4 linked regions of the Canis lupus familiaris genome follow. The protein of the gene in region 4 purifies or fractionates together with the protein of the main gene of each other region. This does not show direct contact. Links are inferred from orthologs where the notes say so. Each region holds a gene or a part of one and is shown on either strand. Other genes may lie near its edges. The genes, in order: CAPZA1, CAPZA2, CNOT8 and CNOT1.

The links.
Region 1: the proteins of CNOT1 (region 4) and CAPZA1 purify together in Homo sapiens (affinity purification with mass spectrometry; 3 studies listed by BioGRID and IntAct, with this or other methods). This does not show direct contact. The link is inferred for Canis lupus familiaris from reciprocal best matches to the Homo sapiens genes CNOT1 and CAPZA1.
Region 2: the proteins of CNOT1 (region 4) and CAPZA2 purify together in Homo sapiens (affinity purification with mass spectrometry; 3 studies listed by BioGRID and IntAct, counting the BioPlex papers as one, with this or other methods). This does not show direct contact. The link is inferred for Canis lupus familiaris from reciprocal best matches to the Homo sapiens genes CNOT1 and CAPZA2.
Region 3: the proteins of CNOT1 (region 4) and CNOT8 purify together in Homo sapiens (co-immunoprecipitation; 5 studies listed by BioGRID and IntAct, with this or other methods). This does not show direct contact. The link is inferred for Canis lupus familiaris from reciprocal best matches to the Homo sapiens genes CNOT1 and CNOT8.

The regions. Positions count from the first base shown.
Region 1 is NC_049238.1:63,670,897-63,675,800, reverse strand, and holds the start of CAPZA1 (F-actin-capping protein subunit alpha-1), read left to right. Parts: upstream 1-1,594; 5' UTR 1,595-2,049; coding exon 2,050-2,088; intron 2,089-4,904. Other genes in the region: ST7L (suppressor of tumorigenicity 7 protein-like), read right to left, coding at 1,123-1,594. UniProt on the Homo sapiens protein: F-actin-capping proteins bind in a Ca(2+)-independent manner to the fast growing ends of actin filaments (barbed end) thereby blocking the exchange of subunits at these ends.
Region 2 is NC_049235.1:55,951,506-55,954,883, reverse strand, and holds the end of CAPZA2 (F-actin-capping protein subunit alpha-2), read right to left. Parts: intron 2,353-3,378; coding exon 2,212-2,352; 3' UTR 851-2,211; downstream 1-850. UniProt on the Homo sapiens protein: F-actin-capping proteins bind in a Ca(2+)-independent manner to the fast growing ends of actin filaments (barbed end) thereby blocking the exchange of subunits at these ends.
Region 3 is NC_049225.1:55,808,577-55,812,798, forward strand, and holds part of CNOT8 (CCR4-NOT transcription complex subunit 8), read right to left. Parts: intron 346-4,222; coding exon 184-345; intron 1-183. UniProt on the Homo sapiens protein: Has 3'-5' poly(A) exoribonuclease activity for synthetic poly(A) RNA substrate. Its function seems to be partially redundant with that of CNOT7.
Region 4 is NC_049223.1:57,401,905-57,406,126, reverse strand, and holds part of CNOT1 (CCR4-NOT transcription complex subunit 1), read right to left. Parts: intron 3,795-4,222; coding exon 3,621-3,794; intron 2,861-3,620; coding exon 2,711-2,860; intron 1,927-2,710; coding exon 1,746-1,926; intron 12-1,745; coding exon 1-11.

The sequences.
Region 1 (4,904 bases), on a different chromosome or scaffold from region 4:
ACGAATAGTTTTTGCTGGGCATATGACTAGTGAGCACTTCATTAACATTACAGAGACACCAAATCAGCTCTTTCAGCCAATATATTTAGTTTGTTTTGATATGTTACTTATATCTGAGCTGATATACATAACCTATGTTCTAAAAAGTCCAAAATATTTCAGAACATTATTTTACAGTATTTCATGTCATCCTGTCAAATAGGTAAGGGAACATGTGCCTTTTCTTGCGACAGAAAACTAAACCACAGGTAGGGACAGTCACAGCCATCACACAGCACAAGTACTTTCATCTTGTTCGGAGCTTGAGTGGAAATATTATCAAGACATGGTAAGAGGCCCTGGGCTCCCATCCGCTTTGCCCTGGCTACAGGTAAGGGGCAGTATTTGCAGAATCCAGGGAATCAGCATCACTTCTTACACGTCCTCGTATGTTCAGCTCAGACTACAAAGCAAGCTCTCTATAAACGTTGAAAGGAGAACCCATCACTGTTGGTGGCTCTCTTTCCCTTCACTTCCTGTGCCGTTTTATTACTCCGGATAAAGCCTACAGCAAAGAACAGGCCAAAATACCACGAAAACCATTTCTTGACAGAACTATCTCAAGATGAGACAATGGCTGGCTAAGTTCACGGCATTTTTTTTTTTTTCTTTCCTTTTTGGCCTTTGAATACATAAGCCCTCATCTTTGTTGTCTAGGTGTGGGAACTCTTCATCGGCGAGAGACTCAGAAGAATGATTTTCAAGGGATTCTACCAGTGCTGGGGGTGTATATAATTCTGCAGCCGATAGGAAAACGCTCTCATCTGTTGCGCTACCTGAATCCTACAGCTTGTCAGGTGGCTCTTCCGCGCGCGGGTCGACGAGGACAGAACCGGGAGGGCGGATCTTAAGAGCTCAAGGGAGGAGCCCATAGCCGAGGCTCAGGTTTGACAATCAGCTGCGGACCTGCGGCCCAGGAGAAGAGCGCCCTGGACCCCGCACCGCCGACTCCTTCTCCGAAGGCCTGCGGGGACTGCGGACAATCTCCGCCCTTTGCCCTTTGCCCCCAGCCACTCTCCTAGCCCCCCTCCCCCCTCCCCTCCCCCCCCCGCCCCCGTCCCCAGGGAGGTCTGGGCCTCTCACCCGCAGCCAAGTTCTCACACAGCCTCAGCGGAACCCTCAGAGCGTAAAGCAGTCCGAGCCCCGCCACGAACCACAGCGAGGGCCCAGTCCCCGCCAGCCCGGCCCGCAGTCGCTCCCTCCAGCCCAGCGACGGGCTCGGGCCGGGAGTAGGTGCGGGAGGAGCGGCCGCAGCGCTCGCTGCCTCACCCAAGCCGCCGCCGTCCGCCATCTTGCCGCTCCCGCACGCTCCGGGAGCTGGGAGGGGAGAAGGGCAGGAAACCGGGAGTCGGGAATCCTGGGATAGTGGCGGACCTGAAGGTGGCCTCTGTGAAAGCTCAGGTCCGAGGAACGCGGACCAAAGCCATTTGGAAGGTGGAGGAGCGTCCCAGTCTACCTTTCCTTCGGAGGGCGGGAAGGGGAGGCTAGCGGCGCCGATTCTGGAGGAACTGGACTGAGATGTGACCTCGGACTGCTGAAACGTTTTTGCTTCCATACGGCTGAGGGTCACCTTTAACCCTGTTTATGGGGTTGGAATAGCCACCGGCCGGTTCAGGGCCCGAGCAGCACGTAACCCTTTGGACTCGGCTGCCACGGAGATCACGGGTACTGGGAAAACCTATAGTAGCCATCGCTATTTTGTCGGAAGGAGCTCGGGCGTCAGTAGTCGAAACACGCTCCCAGCGCCTCCTGGATGAATGGGGACATGAATGCAACTCAATGAGAAAGCTGTTAGACTTAAAATCCTTTAAGGACCAGCCTTGAGGCCGAGCTACGGACTCCCCGAGGGCCGGCGCTCGGAACCCGCACCCCCGCCAGTAACTGACATGGCGCCCTCTGGGCCGGCATTTCCGGGCGGGTCCTTCCGACGGCCCCCGCGGTGATTCCATCACTCAGCTTCCTTCCCGGCCTGCCTCGCGCCGGGGCCGGGCTGGGCCAGAGCAGCCCAAGATGGCCGACTTCGAGGATCGGGTGTCGGATGAGGAGAAGGTAAGGGGTCCGCCTCTCTCTTTTGCGTCCTCCCGCGACAGGGAACAGGGGCCTGACCTGGCTGCGGTGGAAACCCTGGCAGTGTCCCCAGGTGGAAGAACCTTGCTGGGCTGTGCTGGCGGCATACCCGCTGCAGCTGGGACACTTCCGTCTCTAGGGGCATTCCTCTGCCTCACAGTGGCCCCAGTTCCCCATTCCTCAACTCTTTTCTCTCCCTCTGGGCCCGAGTGACAACCCAGTGACCTTCCCGGAAGAGGAAAGACTTTCCTTTATTGAGTCGTGGCTGTGGACTCTTTTTCTGTGATTAAGAGCGGGGTGGATGGTGATGTCTCGGATCAGGAAGCAGGTATTTTACCGCCTTTAACTGTCGGGGCTCGCCCCAGCCCCCCATTTTTAGATATGATTGAGGCTAGTTTAGGGCGAGTCACTTCCTGGTCAGGGTGGCCTCTTAACTTCCCTTTTGCTCCTCCTTCCTCAGGAAGTGATCTTGCTGTCACGACTCCTCGACAGGGAGAGGTCCCCGTGTGTTGCCCGCCCGTCCACTTTTCTCATTATTGGCTGAACTAATTCTCAGTAATAAATGTGCAAGCCTTAGGATATTTACCTCAGGATTTGAACACCACTCTTACCTATAGACCCTCCCTTGATTGATTGCACGTATGTACACAACAAGCCATGACTCTCCATCCCTTGCGTCTTACATACTATTAAGGGTAATTTTTGAAAAATAGTTTTTCTTGTTCACAAGTCAAGAATAGCCAGCGGATTTTTTTTTTTTTTTTAAACTCCATAAAGGTTTTATATAGCACATAAACTTCATGGTTAACAGATTCGGTCTGGACAAAAGCATCGTCTTTGATGCTCCACTGTGGTGTCATTGATTATAGTTAAATTTGTAAGTGTGTAATTTGCGTATTTACTTCTTTAAAAATGTTTTAAGTACAAGCGCATGCTCTGCGTTAGGTGGAATGACTTTTTGCTGACAACTGTACAGCTTTCTTAATGCTTTGTCAGGCTTTTCAGTAAATACTTGATTTTAGGGCCTGCAGAAATTAGAATGATTTCACTAGATGACTCGCTATAGGACAAGAGTTATGTCTTTTATTTATTTCCCACAGTGGCTGTTACAAAAGGTGCAGTCTTGTGTGCTCTATAAATGCATCTGGGCTCTTTCTTTTTTAATACAAGAGAAGAGATGACACAAGGGAATGTTAATGACCCAAGAGTATTCTGTACAGAGTAGTTTGATATGTCATACCTATGTATGCCATGTCATTTTGAAACCCTGAAGAATGTGCTAAACACAAGCCATTGAATAATACTTTGGCGTTAAATTTTCTCGTTCTTGAAAATTTTTGTGTGTAAAACTTAGGGGAGAAAAGGGTGTCATATATGAATTTATGCCGAACAGAATCTGCAATAAAATGTCTAGTCTAAGGCAAATAGTTATGATGCCGGTGAAATTAAATTATAGTAAAAATCACAATAACCCTACATTTGTTAGCTGAACTGATGGTTCACTTGTTTTAAGGGAAAATATTGTTAAAATTTCACTAAATACTACATTTACCAATATTGTTGGGTTTTTGTCATTGACAAAACTAGATGACAAAATTAGAATGCCTTTTTAATTAAACTTGAGAAAATGTATTTCAAGTGCAAATTGAGATGTCTTTAGACATGACAATGTTCAACAACATTAATAGTCTTGATTTTATAACAGCAGATTTGTGACCAGATTTGTAATCTCTTAGCATACTTTTGTTGCTTAATTTTAATAATGATACAGCAAACGTGTTAAAAAATATTTTTAAAAATCTTTAAAAAAAAAAAGATTCTTTTCCTATAAACTTTTCACAATGAAAGTACAATTACAGAAAAATTTTGCTTATTTTTTAAGATTTTATTTATTTATTCATGAGAGAGATACACAGAGAGAGAGAGAGAGAGAGAGAGAGGCAGAGACACAGGCAGAGGGAGAAGCAGGCTCCATGCAGGGAGCCTGATGTGGGACTCCATCCTCGGTCTCCAGGATCACCGCCCTGGGCCGAAGGCAGGTGCTAAACCGCTGAGCCACCCAGAGATCCCCCCCCAAAAAATGTTAAAATCAGGGATATTTTCAGACATAATTTGTATTGATTCCTCCTTGAAGGAACTCTGAAGTTTCCATTTTATCCTTTTTAAGATCTTAATTGCATTAGATTTCGAGTTTTTAAGGCATTTATGTCATGATGCTGAATATATTTTAATATTGCTTTTTATCTTTGTTGCATCTCCTAAAAACAGTGAACCCAGAGTTAAATTTGGTGTCGATAGTCTTTGATTTCCTTGCAATTATTTCTATAAAAGCTGGTAAGATCAACCATTCTCTTAAGTAACTGCTTGGGGTTTTTATCACTTTACAAAGAGGAAGTTGGGTTTTTTAACTTCTACATTGTTACCTGAAATGGTCATGATGAGCTGCCTAAATAAAACAGGAAGCTGAAAGTATAAAATAACTTGCAAAATAAATGCTTTTAGTTTTATTCTTGAGTTTAGTTTCTGAGAATAACAATGAGTGTATTCTTCTATTCACTTAGAGTCTTCAGTTACTTGGTTCCAAATGCTTAACAAGACCAAAATGACAAGATACTGTAATTAGGAAACTTGAAGTATGAGACAAACTACTTGCTTGGGGTCCTTGCACTGTCTGTTTCCTTTATTTCATGATTCAGCATTTTTAAAACAATTGCAGAAAGAATTTAAGGCCGGAAAAAAAAGTGCAATTAGCATATTTTTCCCTTCAGCTTAACTAGTAGAATATTTGTGAACCACCT
Region 2 (3,378 bases), on a different chromosome or scaffold from region 4:
TCTTAGAGGTTATCGTTGCAACCTTGCCCCGTTCCCATGGTGAGTCAGCCTCTCTTGGCAAAACCACAACCTTGGTTCAACTCCTCTACTCTGTGCCTGCACCGTGCAGCTTTAACGTGCTTAACAGAGCGGACTCCCTTGGTGTCACGTTACATCATCACTAACCTTGAGTTGGACTTCATTTTGCCTGGCTACCAAACCCTGTGACCCAGGTCCATTCATTCCACTGTTTCTTCAGCCCAGAGGACCACTCTACCTCCTGTTTTCAGTATCTAACTGCTACATGGTATTTCCCCTTGAAATCGAAAACTGAGCTCCTGACCAACCCTTCTGCTGACCCTGAATTTCCCCCAATTTCTCAACCCCAAAATGTCTCTGGCATTCTTCATCTCATATTCTGCAACCAAACTTTCAGCAAATCTTTTTTATTTTACCTTTAACACATATCCAGAACTCACCACCTCTATAGACTATAGCTACCACCTCAGACCAGGTCAGCATTTGCTCTCAACTAGATTACTGCAGTAGCCTCCTAACTGTTCCCCTAATTTTACCCTTGCCTCTGTACTTCACCCTTAAATCATCACCTTAAAGACAAATGCATGTATTTTCAAGATCACATTCTAGGGCCATAAAACATCCAAAGTAACTGACCTGTAGGGGATAAAACCCACGATAGTCCAAATGATATGACTGAACAAGCCAATTAAAGATTTACCTAGTGTTCAGTTCAGAATCATGACTTTGGAAAATGCCTATTTAAAAAGGGAAGAGAAAATTAACATTGCTAATTCATTTTCTTCAGAAATCCCAATATGGCAAAACTAAGAGAAAACAATTTAACCAAACTCAAATTTCATATTAAGTTCTCAGTGTTTTCAAAGCCCAAGCCTGATTTTTAAAAAGAAATTAAATGACATGCTTTGAGAAAAGTTTTAAATTCTATACAATTCAAGCTAATGAAATATTTTATTGTACATAATAAAAGTGGTGTTTTTAAAAAAACACTTCCAGGCCCAGACATCTCCAAGAGTATGTGAGGAAGAGATTCCACTGGAGTATAGTAAGCAATACTCGATTGAATGAAACCATAAATCCACCCCACTCTCTATAGTAAATATTAACATTCACCACAGGTTTGAAATTCCTGTAGCATCAGTAAATGTATATTTTAAAATATTACAAACACGCTTATGATGCATAAGATGGAAAAATTTAGACTGTAATGCACACCATATGTACTCCCAGCTTCTCTAATTTACAACCAGTTAAGAATCACAATATCCAAAGAAAGTATTTTAAAATAGTATATGACTCACTGATAAGGGATATTCTACTCAAATAAATAGGAAAATTTCCATTTTAATGTCACATTGAATTTCAGTACTTTTCAATCCAAGAAAAGAAATAAACTGAGACATGGTCATGAGTTCAGGATTATATATATTACAATTTGCCTTGTTATAATACATTTGTGGCTTTATGATAAAAATAACTCAGGGACATATGGAGTTCAAGCTAATTTGCGTAACTGTCACAAGAAAAAAAGCATTAAATGCATTTCTGAAATAAGTATTTCCATTTAATTTCAGAATCTCAAAACAGCATTAGACCTTGGCCTCATTTAAAAAAAGTTTAGTTAAACACTAAGCTAGCTAAATAACCTTCTTCAAAGTTCAAACACAATTGATATAGAAAATGCTTTCCCTCTAATCTCAATCTTACATAAATGGAAGAGGTGAGGGGAAAAGGTAGACAATTTCTTTAGCAGCATATATGGCTAAATCCATCAACCACCTTAAACTAGAATGTCCATTATTAACCCCATTAAAAAGAACTGGGCAAATATCAAAAGTTGCCCACTTCGTAAACCAAAAGACAACAACTTTAGGGTTACGATAAGTAAAATATTTTTGAAACACTTCAAAAACTTTTAACATTAAACTAGAGGAATCATCTCTTAATTATAAGAAAGAAAGGTATAACAGAAAGTAAAAGACATTTAAACTAATTGTCCTCTTTGAACAAAAGAAATGAAAAATAACGGTTGATTAGCTAAGCTTTGTGCTCTAACCAAACTAATTAATTACAGTGATTTTAAATGGCAACAGCCCATCTGACTGGGTAGCTTGACAGTTCTGAATACTTTTTGCAATGATTTTTTTTTTAAACGCAAAAACATTAAAATGATCCGGTCATGCAATGTTCATCTTATGCATTCTGCATCTCTTTGCCAATCTTGTAGCTAAGGATCTTGTTCCAATCAATCTTCGTGCGTGTAACTGGCAACTGTCGACGTAAGGCTTTGAAAGTAGTGTCCGACATTGTCTGATAATTCTCACTGATGGCGGTCTATGAAAAATAGTAGTTAAAAGTTTAAGAAATAAAAGGAACAGATCAATTTATACAACACATAGATGTTTTAGAAAAACCTTTATTTAACCAGCTTATTTCACTGTTTTTAAAAAGTAAAAAAAAAAAAAAAAAAAAAAAAAAAGTCAAAAACCCCAATGTGGTTTTGGAAACTGTTTAAAAAGCAGCTAAAAGGGATGCCTGAGTAGCTCAGAGGTGGAGTATCTGCCATCCACTCAGGGCTTGATCCCGGAGTCCCGGGATCAAGTTCCACATTGGGCTCCCCACGGGGAGCCTCCTTCTCCCTCTGCCTGTGTCTCTCATGAATAAGTTAAAAAAAATCTTAAAAAAAACAAAACAAAACAAAAAAAAAACCAAGCAGCTAAGAGAGGGGCGCCTGGGTGGCTCAGTCAGTTAAGTGTCCAACTCCTATTCTTGGCTCAGGTTTGGATTTCATGGTCATGAGTTCAAGAATCATGTGCTATACTGACTTAGCCAGCCAGAACCTCCTAAAAGAAAAAAGCCTATAATTGTTTTGGATAATTTAATGAAATGAAATTGTAAATTGGATTTAATATTTGTGTGTTCTCATTTTGGATCTATTTTACTATTTCACTCAAAACAATTTTATATATTATTGTTTCCAAGAAGCAGAAATGTGGCGAATCCACAAATTAAATGTGTAAGTTCAAGAGTACGGTTTAAAAGCTGATAAAAAAAATGTAAAAAATAAGAGTATAAAGTGAAATAAGATCTGACCAGATTACACATAATCTAAATACTTTGGGAAATACTTCATAAATTAAAATTTCCAATCAAAAACAAAATAACCATTTAAAATCTTGGCATATTATGACCAATACTCAGATATTACTGTTGGCTAAAACTGAATTTTGGCCACATTTTTATAAGTTTGCCACTGAATTAAAAACAAGTAAACAAAAAAACCCAAAAAAGATTGTTTTATTATAGTGAAATAAATGAAAAAAATTCAGGCTCATAACTGAAATTCAGTGCCATTATTAT
Region 3 (4,222 bases), on a different chromosome or scaffold from region 4:
GAAACAAACAAGAATGAGCTCCAAAGTATTTTTTGAAAAACAAACATGGGCAAGTTACCATTTGAACTTCATAACTGTTTCATAATTGACCAAAAGAAGAGAGCCAAAAGGACTGCAGAAATAACAGAAGAATGTAATTCCCTGCTCCCAAAGCAAGAGAAATACACATTTTCTGGGACTAACCTATGAAATGAAAGCCATTTGACGTTGTCACAGAGAACCACCCCTGATGTCATAAGCAGCTCTGCAAAGTGCAATGTGTCAATTCCTTCCTCTTCATGCTTCTGAAATTGCAGTCCTGAGTTAGCAAGGAGATCTATGGAATCCTGGGAGTACATGTCCTCTCTAAAAAAGAAGGTATTCACTTCTTAGCTGATGGATAATCTAAGAGTAGTGGGTAGCAATATTAACATCACCTTATTAATGAACAAGTATTATTGAAATGAAGGGACCAATTCATTTTTTCCAGTATTCAGCAAGCACTCAAAATAAATAATCTTATCTCTGTGGCAGATGGAAAAGTGAGACTTGCCCTCACAAAATAAGTTTCTTAATCATAAAAGATGAACATTTCCTCCACTGCTTACAAAAAAACAGAATCAACCAATACAAAAATATGTAAAATAGTGACTCCTGGGTGGCTCAGTGGTTCGGACCAGGGCGTGATCCTGGATCAAGTCCCACATCAGGCTTCCTGCATGGAGCCTGCTTCTCCCTCTGCCTATGTCTGCACCCTCCCCCCTCTCTGTCTCTCATGAGTAAATAAATATAGAAAATCTTTAAAAAATATATGTAAAATACTAGAAAAATTTTTTAAATGTTCTTAGTAATATAGTTACATCATAGAAATAACTGTTAACTCAGTTTATAGATCCTTGAAGACTGTTTTCTCTACCTATACATACACACCTTCATCCCTACATCTACACAGCACAGCACAGCCCATCTTTCCAGACCAATGCTCATAGACAGACAACATCCTTTGCAACTCTGGCATAATATTCTACTGCAAAGATACATCCATCAATTTAAACAGAAGAATATTTATAATACTATATATCACAAAAGGAGAGAAATAAATTATGTAACTCCTTTTCCACTAGATTTCACTGTTTTTTTTTTCCCCTTCATTTGTTTTTCACATAAACTTAGGAAAGATAAGTAGGAAAAAAAGAAAACAAACACAATCTTAAGTGTTTTCTTACTAAATTAAAACCAGTGTTGAATCACATTGTTTTGTTTCACCTAAAACAAGCACTATCTTAAGCACATACATAACTCTACAATAAAAACAATCTTTATTTTCTTTTGTGTATTAATTACCATCAAGGTATAAATAACAGGTTTTGGCAATGGAGTAAAAAAAAAAATGCTGTTAAAGGAAAGATCCAGATCATCTCCCCAAATTATTTCTGAACCTCAAAGAAATTTCCAATGTACATGAACAATCAAATTGTGGCCCAATAAGAAATACACTAAAACTACCTCATACAAAATTCAAAATGACAGTCTACCCTAAATTTTCCCCTTAAAAAATTACATCATTCTGGGATGCCTGGGAGGCTGTCAGGTAAGCCTCCAACTCTTCATTTTGGCTCAGGTCATGATGTGAGTGAGCCCCACATCAGGCTCTGCACTGGACAAATAGACTGCTTAAGATTCCCTCTTTCCCTCTCCCTCTGCCCCTCCCTAACCCTCCCCTGTGTGCACATGTATGTGTGCATGCATGCTCTCTCTCTTAAATAAAAAAACAATTACATCATCCTCAAAAAAATTAAAAACAGAACTACCAAATGATCCAGCAATCTCACTTCTGGATATATATCCAGAAGAATTAAAAGCATGGTTGTGAAGATGTTTGCACATCCATGTTAGTAGCAACACTACTCCCAACAGTCAAGAGATGGAAACAACTTACATGTCCATCAATGGATGAAGAGATAAACAAAATGTGCTCTAAATATACAATGAAATATTTATTATTCAGTCCTAAAAAGGAAGGGAATCCTGCAACATGCTACAACATGGATGAACTTTAAGGATATCATGTTAAGTGAAATACGCCAGCCACAAAGCAACAAATACTGTATGATTCCATTTATAAGAGGTATCTAAAACAGTCAAATTCACAGAAATAGAAAGTAGTATTATGGTGGTTCACTAAGATCTGGGGAAGAAGCAAAAGAAGAGTTGTTTAATGGGTACAGAGTGTCAGATTTGCAAGATGAGAAAGTTCTGGAGGTCTGCTTTACAACAATGCAAACATTTTTCTTTTAAGACTTTATTTATTTATTCATGAAAGATGGGGGGGGGGGTTGGAGGGGAGGCAGAGAGAACAGGTTTCCCGTGAATCAGGGAGCCCGACGTGGCACTCAATCCCAGGACCCCAGGATCACAACCCCAGCCAAAGGCTCAGTTTTAAATACTGAGCCACCTCAGCACTCTATATTTAACACAACTGAACTGCATGGGGATCCCTGGGTGGCTCAGCGGTTTAGCGCCTGCCTTGGGCCCAGGGTGTGATCCTGGAGACCCGGGATTCAGTCCCACATCGGGCTCCCTGCACGAAGCCTGCTTCTCCATCTGCCTGTGTCTCTACCTCTCTCTGTGTCTCTCTCATGAATAAATAAATGAAATCTTAAAAAAAAAAAAAAAAAAAAAAAAACGCACAACTGAACTGCAGACTTAAAAATGGTTGAGATGGTAAATTTTACATGTTTTCTACACCATTTTAAACATCAAAATTCGCCCACTATCAAATAGGCTTCAGTTTCAACTACTTTTAATTAACATCTACTCCTTATTTCCTTATTTCTTCTATGATGAAATACTGTTTTTTAGATAAGGAAACTGAATTACAGAAGGTAAAATTACCTACTCCAAATCACCTAGATGAAAAAGGGCAGAACTGCAATTCATCTCCTAAGTGGACAAAAACTTTACTTTTTCATTTTAAACAGCCTTTCTAAACTATAATTCACACACTAAACATTTACTCATTTAAAGTATACACTTCAGGAGCACCTTGGGGGCTGTCAGTTAAGTGACCAACTCTTGATTTCCACTTGGTTCATGATCTCAGGGTCATGAGATGCATCTGGCTGTCTACCTTCCGCATGGAATCTGCGTCTCTCCCTTCCCTCTTCCTCTGCCCCTCCACCTTCCACCCCCCCCCACCACCACACACACACTCTCTCAAATAATTTTTTGAATTCTTAAAAATATACAATTCAATCACTTTTAGTATTTTCAGAGTTGTGCAACCACCACCACAGCCAATTACAAACCATTTTATCACTTCAAAAAGAAAACCTATATCCATAATGCAATCACTCCCCACTATACCCCATAATCTCAACAGCGCCCTGAACAACAACTAAGCTATTCTGACTCTATAAACTTGCCTATTTTGAACATTTCATATAAACAGAATCCTACAGTACATGGTCTTCTGTGTCTGGCTTCTTTCCCTTAGCATGTTTTCAAAGCACATCAATGTACAACATATATTAGTGCTCCTTTCCTTTTTACTGTCCAATAACATTCCAATAATATTGCATGGATATACCATATTTATTTTATCCAATCACCAGTTCACAGACATTTGGATTGTTTCCCCTTTGGGGCCTTTACAAATAATGCTGTTACAAACATTCACATACAAGTTTTTATATGGATATTATGTTTTCATTTCTCTAGGGCATATGCCTAGAAGTGGAATTGCTGGGTCATATGGTAACTCTACGTTTAACCTTTTGAGAAACTGCCTGTTTTCCAAAGAGGCTATACCATTTTACTTTTCCAATAGCAATGTATGAGGGTTCTAATTTCTCCACCCTTGCCAACATTTGTTCTTGTATCTTTTTTATTATAGCCACCTAGTTGGTATAAAGTAGCATCTCACTGTAGTTTTGATTTGCATTTCCCTCATGACTAATAATGGTGACCATCTTTCCCTAAGTTTATTAGCCATATCTGTATCTTCTTCGGAGAAATGTCTTTAGCTCTGATGCCCATTTTCAACTGGGTTTTTTTTTTTTTACTATTGACCTGTAAGAGTTCTTTAAGAGGGACTTTACTATCTGAGATCCTTATTTCATTCTCTATTTTATTACTGTGTCCAACCCTTACCTGGTTTTCAAAACTTTATATTAATAAAATCAGTTAGAAATCAGTCTGCACAAAGGTAGCAGATCTAAGAATAATACTGAGAAATGTCTCA
Region 4 (4,222 bases):
GAGATACCGACCTAGAAATTCAGAAAACTTAGTTTATTGCAAACCTACTGTGAAAAGCCAATGTAAAAAAGATAAATCATTCTAAGTGGCTAGGGTTTGATTTTCTGATACAGGCTTTCGTAGTATCCTTTCAACCAGTGGTACTTGGGATCCCCAATGCTCCCATTTCTGGGGGGTTTATTTTGTATTTTCCGCATTAATTTTTTTTAATATTTAAAAACAGGTCCACTGCATATAAATATTTTCCAAAACAATGTAGGTAAGAATATTACTGTTTTACATTTCACAGGTTTCTTTAATGTCACTTAATAGGAGACAGCTAGATTCTTATTTCTGCCTCTGTGTTCAATCTGTTCCAGTATTGTTTCATGTAGCTCTGGAAAACTCCACTGTATACTCATGACAACATGAGTGCAAACAAAACAATAAAACACAAATGTTGTCATTATTTTGAAAATAGTTTTGACCTTACAACTCTTCTAAAAGGTCGGGACACCCTCAAGGGTGTCCAGACCACATTTTAACAACTGCTAATTTAGACTATAATGGAGTAAGTATTAACTGGGTTTGGCTGTCTGCCTCTGCTTGGTATTAGTCATGTGTGATATGGCTATATCCAGGTGAGCTTTAACACTAAGGGCTACCTTTTTAAAAATTTTTTGCTGGGCTCTGGATAATCAGGTATTCAATTTTGTTAAATCTTGATTTTAAGCTATCTCAAATCCTTTCTACAAATAGACAAGCAAGTGTATGTATATCTCAAGATTAACCTCTCAAGAACTGATAGCAAAGTAGGCATCCATTCTAAACTATGCGTGTTTTAAGGGCACCTGCATAGCTCAGTGGGTTAAAGTGTTCAACTCGATCTCAGAGTCGAGTTCAAACACCACAACACCACATTGGGCTCAAGCCATATGTGTTCAAATAAGCAAGACTACGTAGTTGGTTAGTACCTACTGGAGTCTCTGTAATAAGAATGAATCTAGAAGCTCAAAAGAAATGTGATTACACCATGCAAGATGCAACTTATGGGAAAAACTATACTGCCAACTTTCTGCAAAGCAGGTAGGGAAAGTCTCATGCATTAATTTGTATATACCTAATACTTAATACATTGCCTAACAGACACTAATAAATGGGGGGAAAGGCAGACTAACAAAACAATGTAAAATGAGCTTATTTTTAAAGAGAGCCTAGTAAAAAGAATGTTGTTTATTTTCACACTTAAATAACACTGTAATCATACACATTGAAGTATTAAGTGATGTGGTAAGGATTCTGGATTATTTCTTTCCTTTACATTTTCTGAATTTTCTGCATTAAGCAGATACTATGCAATTGAAATAGCCAGCAGAGAAAAAACAAATAACATGATTTCACATGTATATGGAATTTAAGCAACAAAACAAGCAAAAAAAAAAAAAAAAGAAAAAAAAGACTTTTAATTATAGGAACAATCTGATAGTTATTAGAGGAGAGGGGGACGGGGAGATTGATTAAATAGATGATAGAAATTAAGGAATGCACTTAGGATGAGCACCAGGTGATGTATGGAATTGTATTACTATTATACACTGAAACTGCTATAACACTGTATGTTAACTGGATTAAAATAAGAAATTTTTTTAATAGAGCCATAAACCTGTTGACAAAATATTTGTCTGTTGTGGCTAAAGCATTTTATGACCAGACTGTAGCAAAAAGTGCAAAGAACTTAACTCTGAGAATTGTCTGGCTTCACTCACCTTCAGTGTCCAAGTCCACAGCCAGGTTCTGGAAGATGTCCATGTGAGCCGAGTGGGTGATCGTGCTCATTGATGGCGTGCTACCCTTGTTGTGGATGTGCGCAATGGCCTGAGTCCCTACATAGAGCACCAGTGCATTGATGAGCTGGAGGTTGTAACGATTGCCAGGCTCATTGGATACCTAAATGAACAAAACAGAAAGCTCCTTATTCACAGAGGATTCAGTATTTCTAAATCGTTTTTATGCCTTCACAGAAAAGGTGAACTGCTCTCAACAGTTTTTTTTTTTTTTTTTCCAACAGTTTTTGATTTAAATTTTAGAAATCTGCTGGACTTTGTGAGGTTGCTGAACAAAATACACAGCAGCCTAAGGGTGGTTGGGTCAATAACAGAAACAGGAGTTCCTTTTAGAAGCCAAAGCTTCAACAGGTACCAGCAAAAAAAAAAGTTTGTAAAGTCAGACTGCATTATCTTAATTACAGAAAGTATTTGGAGGGGTGCCTGGCTGGCTGTGGGTGGAGTGTGTGACTCTTGATCACGAGGTTGAGTCTGAGCCCCGTATTAGGTGTGGAGATTACTCCATGAAATCTTCTATTTGGAGGGGGTAAGTAGTGTGGTGTGGAAAGACTGGAAGGTAGTAACACAATTTCAAGTCCTCTTCTGTATAGCAAACTAAACTAGAATCCATTTAGAACAATCTTGAGCGTACTAACAGGTGCCAATTATCAGCAGTACAATTCTTACAGAAAATAAACCTATTTCCTGGTTGTCTCTTCCAAGGCAATAGCTTTGTGTTGGTGATAAGACAACTAGTAAAATGCATAATCTAGTTAATCTCATCCAACCATTAGAAACAGTATGTTTTAAAAATTTTAAATCCAGTTGAAAACACTGACTTCCAAATAATATTATACATAGTGTTGTGGGTAGCCTGAGTGTTTTTCTAAAAAGGCAAACAAATTAACCTGTAGGTTGCTTCGCAAATCAGACAGAAAAGTGACCGGTGATCGAGTTTTAAGATAAGAATCCAAATCCTTTTTGAACTGAGGTGGCATCACTCCAGTAAAATTGGTAAGAATCCGGGGTGCAATGTTAATTTCACTCAACATATCCACCTGCCAGACAGATAAAACAATCAAAACCAGAAGCATGTGTAGGAGTTAACAGCAAATTTTCTCTGCCTTAAAAAAATAAACTGCACATTGTAAATGTCTTGATAAAAGCTGCCACTTTTTATTAATTTTTAATTAAAAGAATCTAGCTACAAAATGATAAAAATCTCTCATTCTATAATAAATTATCTTTTCAAATTAAGGCAGGATAGGTACCTTTTGTGAAGAGGTCTAATGTATATTACTAATTGTTTCCTGGACTTGGATTTCAAAGAGTACAGAGGAAATTCCTCACACCAAGATCCCTAGTCTTTGAAAAGATGCCCCAGCAGAACAGAACATCATACTTGTTACTTTAAAAAGAAAATAATGTATTTGAAATAGACAAAATACATAAAAATTACAGTAGCCAAATCAGGGCTATAGACATAAAAAACACCTATGGAAAAAAAAAACACTTATGAAATATGAGCATTACAAAGGTCTATCCTGCAAATCTATGCCATCAGGGCCAGCCAGCAAATAATACCTCAGTTGAGGTTCTATAAAAATTAATTGAAAATAGCAAGTAGGCAAATACTGTGAACCAATATTCAGCAAGCTTAATATTAATAACATGATCACCCCCGCAAAGACCATCCTTACCTAACAAATTTGTGCGTGTGTGTGTGTGCAAGGAAAGGGGTTAAATAAGTCTACTACCAGAGAAAGGACTAAAATACTAAGACAAAACTTTCTTTTCCTTAAATTGTTTGGAATTTACCTTCAGATTAGGAGTGAATGGGTCCGGGAGCCTCATGTTTCTTGGGAAGGCACTCAGAATGAGATTTCTTAGCTGAATACAATTAGGTGGGATCACATCACAAAATCCATAATGGTAATCACAAAGGAACTCAGGGAAATCATGCAAAAGAACCAGCAGCACCCTCAAAGTGCCCTATTTTTTAAAAATGAGAAAAACATTGGCTGTTTCCACATTGTTAAGAAATGAGAGTAACATTTATACTATTATGAACATAACAAGTAAATACAAAAGTATATACCTCAGTAACAAATTACAGGCTTAAATCACCAATAACTAGCTCTGAGGAGTTTATACATTAAATGTATATGCTCAAAGAGGCTGGCAAAAAGTAATTAAAATGACATAAGTCTGCAGAAGATGGAAAAAGCAGCTAATGAAAACCAAGAAAGTAAAAGAGCCAAAATCAATTACATGTTTTAAAAGTACTGAAGGAAAGATGAATCAAAGCTCGTTCTTTGAAAAGATTAAAATCCAGGCCTCGATAGCTTTACTGGTAAAAAATTAATTATCAATATTTAAGGAAAAATGAATACTATTTTCATGATCTCAAAAATAAATTT